Coturnix japonica: one gene and its partner. The protein of the gene in region 1 binds, or shares a complex with, the protein of each later gene. Links are inferred from orthologs where the notes say so. Each region holds a gene or a part of one and is shown in the gene's direction. Other genes may lie near its edges.

What was found.
Region 2: the proteins of NTRK1 (region 1) and SHC1 are in contact, whole or in part, in an NMR structure (PDB 1SHC), measured with the Homo sapiens proteins. The link is inferred for Coturnix japonica from reciprocal best matches to the Homo sapiens genes NTRK1 and SHC1. Residues at the interface, in NP_002520.2 of Homo sapiens: His489, Ile490, Ile491, Glu492, Asn493, Pro494, Gln495, Tyr496, Phe497; in NP_892113.4 of Homo sapiens: Met176, Arg177, Ala178, Leu179, Ser259, Ile260, Ser261, Phe262, Ala263, Ser264, Gly265, Gly266, Lys279, Asn283, Arg285, Ile301, Ile304, Gly305, Phe308, Glu309, Phe312, Lys313, Gln314, Tyr315.

What each region holds. Positions count from the first base shown.
Region 1 is NC_029540.1:688,349-690,953, forward strand, and holds part of NTRK1 (high affinity nerve growth factor receptor), read left to right. Parts: coding exon 1-111; intron 112-238; coding exon 239-568; intron 569-923; coding exon 924-982; intron 983-1,249; coding exon 1,250-1,352; intron 1,353-1,653; coding exon 1,654-1,800; intron 1,801-1,895; coding exon 1,896-2,026; intron 2,027-2,093; coding exon 2,094-2,266; intron 2,267-2,605. UniProt on the Homo sapiens protein: Receptor tyrosine kinase involved in the development and the maturation of the central and peripheral nervous systems through regulation of proliferation, differentiation and survival of sympathetic and nervous neurons.
Region 2 is NC_029540.1:1,438,513-1,441,708, forward strand, and holds the end of SHC1 (SHC-transforming protein 1), read left to right. Parts: intron 1-110; coding exon 111-162; intron 163-304; coding exon 305-431; intron 432-534; coding exon 535-703; intron 704-903; coding exon 904-964; intron 965-1,069; coding exon 1,070-1,237; intron 1,238-1,313; coding exon 1,314-1,576; intron 1,577-1,737; coding exon 1,738-1,866; 3' UTR 1,867-2,613; downstream 2,614-3,196. UniProt on the Homo sapiens protein: Signaling adapter that couples activated growth factor receptors to signaling pathways. Participates in a signaling cascade initiated by activated KIT and KITLG/SCF.

The sequences.
Region 1 (2,605 bases):
TTGTCCTGGAGATCAACAACATCTCATCTAGCCTGAACCACAAGGACCTCACATGCCGGGCAGAGAATGCAGCGGGGCTGGCAGAGGACAGCGTGATACTGAATGTCACCTGTAAGCAACCCAGGGGATGGGGAGAGAGAGGGAGGATTGGGGGGCCAGGGGTGGTATGAGGGTCAGCTTTGGGGGTCCCACATTTGGGGACGCATGTTTGGGGACACAGGCAGCTCTGTCCCCACAGTCCCACCGGTGATTCTGCTCCTGCACGAGGCCATCGCTCAGCACTTCTGGTGCATCCCCTTCTCAGTGGACAGCAACCCAGCACCCAGCATCTTTTGGCTCTTCAATGGCACGTTTCTGCTTGAGGGGCCCTACATCCATACGCGGATTGTGGAGTATGAGCCCAACTCCACCACGCTGCACGGCTGCCTCCAGCTCAACCGCCCCACACATGTCAACAACGGCAACTACACCCTCGTGGTGCAGAACCCCCTGGGCAGAGCCACCCGCAGCATCCAGGGCCGCTTCATGGATAACCCCTTCAGCTTCAGCCCTGAGGAGCCCATCCCCGGTGGGTCACAGTGGGGCTGAAGGAGATGTGCTGCCCTAATCCTGACACAGGAGGCACCGAAACTTCTATTCCCACCTTGCCAAGGGGTTCTGTCCCCCTCCCGTGCCTCAGTTTCCCCAAGGATTGGGAAGGAAACATGGGACTCTCTTATGGGGGGGAGGTGGTTAATGTGTGCTCTTTCCTTTTTCCATGCTGCACAGTGTCTATATCTCCACTGGGTGAGTGCTGGGGCATGCTGCTACCCCTGCTATTAACCCCCAGCTGTGGTGATGCCCAATGATGAGGCTGCAGTGATTGTGCAGGAGTGAGGATGTGCCCCCACTTCACGCTCACCCTGTGCCCTCTCCCCACACAGGTACCAGGAACAGCTCTTTGGAGGGCCCTATGGAGACAGCGGATGAGCACACATTTGGGGTGAGGACTTGACTGGGATGGGGTGCCCTGTGATTTGGGGTAAGGGGCATGAGGACACCTGTGGGAAAGCAAAGCAGTCCTTAAAGTGAAAGCAAACCAGAGGCAAGGCAAGGTGGGATGGGATGGGGTATAGGCAGCCTCCTGCCCTCCGCTGTGCCTCAGTTTCCCCAGTAGAATTGCAATCACCTCCAGGGCTTGGAGAAGGGTGCTGTCCTTGGCTTTGCAGCAGGACCCCAGCCCCATACTCACCATTCCCTTTGTCCCCAGGTCTCCGTGGCTGTGGCTTTGGCTGTTTTTGCCTCCCTCTTCCTCTCTGTCATGCTCATTGCGCTCAACAAGTGCGGGCGTCGCTCCAAGTTCGGCATTAACCGTGAGTCCCCTCTTCCTGCACCGGGTAGGGGCACAGCCATGGGGCAATGGTCCTCATGGGTCCCCATTGCCTGGCACCCCCTTGGGCACTGGGTGGCAATGGGGCTCCTCCGGGGCCAAGCAGTGCGGGCAGCAGCTGCTAATTCACTCCTGGAATGGATTCAGCCTGCAAATGGGTTTGATCGCACTGACTTCCCCTGGGGCTGGAGGGGGGGGGGATGCTCGGCAGCACCTGGCACTGCTGCACAAAGCACCCCTCACCCCTCTGTGATGGCCCTATTCATGTGCCCCTGTCCCTGCAGGCTCAGCCGTGCTGGCCCAGGAGGATGACCTGGCCATGTCATTGCACTTCATGAACCTGGGCAGCAGCCCCGTGTCCTCCACAGAGAGCAAGCTGGACGGGCTGAAAAGCAACTTCATTGAGAACCCACAGTACTTCTGCAATGCCTGTAAGGCTGGGGATGCATCTGCCTCAGCATCCCCCACTGCTCCCCATTGTCCTCCTGCGGTGGGGGCTCTGGGCTGATGGATGTGGGTCCCCCAGGTGTGCACCACGTACAGCGCCGTGACATTGTGCTCAAGTGGGAGCTGGGCGAGGGAGCCTTTGGGAAAGTCTTTCTGGCTGAGTGTTCCCACCTCCTTCCAGAGCAGGAGAAGACATTGGTGGCTGTGAAGGTGAAGGGGTTGGGGGGGATGAGGGTCCTGGGCTGGTCAGTGCCATGTTAACGCCTTGTGCCTGCAGGCGTTAAAGGAGGTGACCGAGAGCGCACGGCTGGACTTCCAGCGGGAGGCAGAGCTGCTGACCAACCTGCAGCATGAGCACATCGTCAAGTTCTATGGTGTGTGTGGCGAGGGTGACCCACTCATCATGGTCTTTGAGTACATGAAGCATGGAGACCTCAACCACTTCCTCAGGTGGGTCCGGCCCCTCGCCCCCTCCCCTCTCCATCAACGCGGCTCAGACAGCCGCTCTGCGCTCGCTGCTAATGCAGCCCTCCTTGCAATATTGATTAGATTAGCTGTCTGAGAGGCTTAAATAGAGAGAGATTGGCCATCAGCTGGAATAAGCAGAGACTTTTCGATTGGCCCCCCAGGTATTGCTGATAGACGGGGGGGCTGCCAGAGGCATCGCTTTAGTGGCCACGCGATGAGCTCTGAGACGTGGCTTTTATGATTATTGTTATGGGACTTGGCATTAATGGTTCTGCCGAGCAGAGCCCCCTGCTCCCGGTCCAGCCTCCCCAGCCCGGCTGT
Region 2 (3,196 bases), about 750 kb from region 1:
TTCCCCAACCAGCACATCCTACCCTGTGCTGGGGATCAGAGCCTCTCCTGCCTTCTCCCCTAAGTCTTGGGCACTGAGCAGCCCTGGCTCATCACCACTCTCTCCCACAGGACACAGCTGAGTACGTCGCCTACGTTGCCAAAGACCCCGTCAACCAGAGAGGTGAGGCTGGAATTGCAAGAGCCCCATTTTGGGTGCAGCTCAGAGAGGGATTGGGTCCCTGCAGGGAATCTCTGGGGTGCACAGGGTGGGATCAGGGGGTGTAGGATTTAATCCTGCTCTCATCTCGCTGTTCCCTTCCCAGCCTGCCATATCCTGGAGTGCCCTGAGGGCTTGGCCCAGGATGTGATCAGCACAATTGGACAAGCCTTTGAGCTGCGCTTCAAGCAGTACCTAAAGAACCCCCCGAAGCTGGTGACACCCCACGACAGGTAAGAGAAGGGAGAGATGGGGGTCCATGAGGTCTATTGGTGCTGGGAGGGGATGCAGGCCTGGCTGCTGTCAGCTGTTCAGCTGTGTGTTGTTCCCTTCCAGGATGGCAGGGTTTGATGGTTCAGCCTGGGATGAGGAAGAGGAGGAGCCTGCCCCAGATCACCAGTACTACAACGACTTCCCTGGCAAGGAGCCTCCTATAGGGGGGGTCGTGGACATGCGGCTGCGGGATGGAGCTGCGCAGACCCCCAATCACCTGGGGGCCACACTGGTAAGGCGCTGAGCGTGTCTGCAAGGGGCTGCTGGGGAGGTTCTGCTATATAGGGGAGATGCAAGGACCCCAATGGGGCTGTGGGCTGCACAAAATCCACACCACGCTTCTGTCCAGCACCTCTGGCAGTCCATACTGGGGTTTGGGGAGGGGTAAGAGTACAGCAAGGTCTTTTGGTCTCACCATGTGCCTCTCTACAGCCTGTTGGCCAGACGTCTGGTGGGGAATTTGACCCCAGGAAGCAGCACGGTCCCGCTCAAGGTAATGTGATGGATGTGGCTGGTCCCCATAGGCTTTCCTGGTCCCAAAGTGCTCCAGCAATAAGTGCTGGTGCCGGAGCGCTGCTGACCACAGCGCTTTGTGCAGCAGGAAGAGAGAAATACCCACCTGCAGCGGGTGCGTCCGGCCGTACGGACCTATTTGATGACCCATCTTATGTGAACGTGCAGAACGTGGACAAGACACGCCAAGCAGCAGCTGCAGGCAGCCCTGCAACAGCCAACGGCAGCGCCCAGCGAGACCTCTTCGACATGAGTGAGTGGGGACAGCAGCTGCAGGCTGTGCACTCTGTGCTGGGTGTGTGATGGAGCCCCTTCCTTTTCTCCTGCAGAGCCATTTGAAGATGCCCTTCGTGCCCCCCAGTCTGTGCCCGTGACCGTTCCTCCTGCCCAAGTTGTGGCCTCCATGGAGGAGCAGCTGAGGAGGGAACCGTGGTATCACAGGAAGATGAACCGCAAAGAGGCTGAGAAACTGCTGAAGGTGAATGGAGATTTCCTGGTGAGGGACAGCATCACCACCCCGGGGCAGTACGTGCTGACCGGCCTGCAGGGTGGGCAGCCCAAGCACCTGCTGCTCGTCGACCCCGAAGGAGTGGTGAGTCTCTATAACCCCAAAGCTTGGGGGGCCCTACATCTCCCCACAACCCCACCTTGGGGACACCTCCGGGCTGGCTTAGGGGATGGAGGAGGCCTGGTAAAGCATAGAGGGGACTCCTGGGTGTATCTGCAGCCTCTTGAGTTCCCTATTCCCTGCAGGTCCGGACAAAAGATCATCGTTTTGAGAGCGTCAGCCACCTCATCAGCTACCATATGGACAATCACCTGCCCATCATCTCAGCTGGCAGCGAGATGTGCCTGCAGCAGCCAGTGGAAAGGAGACTGTGAGCTCCAGGGGGGCCTCGGTGCGCACCCCCCCACACCCCCCAGCCCTGCTTCCCACCCTGGGGAGCACCTGGACTCAGCCGGGGCTGAGCGTGGACTGCCTTGGGGATGGTCCTCACCCTCCCACCACCACCACACGAAGCTGGCAGCCCTGGGCTGCAGGCAGCGTGGTGTGAGCTGCCTGTGGGGCCGGGGGGCTGGTAGTGCCAAAGCCCCCTCCTCTCCTCCCAGCTCCAGCCTTTTGCTCAGCTCATACCAAATCCCGGCCCCATACGGTGTCAGCACTGGGGGGCACCAGCCCAGGGCCGGGTTCTGCTCCAGCCTGGTTGGAACTGGGGGTGGCCAGGCTTCATCCCATGAGCAGCACCAGCCCCGAGGGGTTGGGGTGGGGGGGATGGAGTGGGGGGGGCTCACCCAGGGCTGTGCCCTGCGCTCTGCTCCCCAAGCACAAACAAGGCCCGGCCGGCCGCGCACCGAATGTACCCGATCACTTTATGTGTAACTGTGCCTTGACCCCGCAGGTCCCACACATATATGCAATGCAGCCGGGCTGGGGTGGGGGGGCTGCCAGCTCCTTCATGCCCTCCAGGTCCTGCCAAGCCCCTTCTCGGGCACCTCCCTTAAAGCCGGAGCTGGCCGGGTCCCCACTGCATGCACCTCGACCCCCCCCCGAAGCCAAAGCGCAGCCCAGCCCCGGCCCCGCTATAACCAAAGGATCCGGCGGTTCGTATTAAAGTTGGTATTTCTTTACGATGCGGCTGCTGTGTTGGGGAAGGGGCGGGTTGAGAACCTAAGGGGGTGGCGGCCGGGACCCCTCCCCCCTGAGCCCCCTCCCCATGGTTCCTCCCTCCCCCCTGAGCCCCCCTAACGTGGTTTCTTCCTTCCTCCCCCCTGGTCCCGCCTCCCCCTGGTTCCTCCCCCTCGTCCAGAGCCCCCTCCCAAATGGTTTCTCCAGCCTGAGCCCTCCCTGCCCATGGTTTCCTCCCCCCAGAGCCCTCCTCCCTCGGTTCCTCCCCCCCCGACCCCCCCCCGACCCCCTTCATAGGTTCCTCCTACCCCCCTGACCCCGTCCCATTGGTTCCCTCCTCCCCCACCCCCAACTGTGGTTTTCTTTTCCTCCCTCCTCTCCTGAGACAGCCTCCCTATGGTTTTCCTCCCCCCTAAGACACTAACGTGGTTCTTCCCGCCCCCCCCCTCTAAAAGTGGTTTCTTCCTCTCTGCCCCCCGAGGCGCCTCCCATGTTCCTCCTCCACCCCTGAACCCCTCGGTGGGTTCATCCCCCTGAGCCCCTCCCCTGGTCCCTTCCCCCCCCCCGAGCCCCCTCCCATCTGGT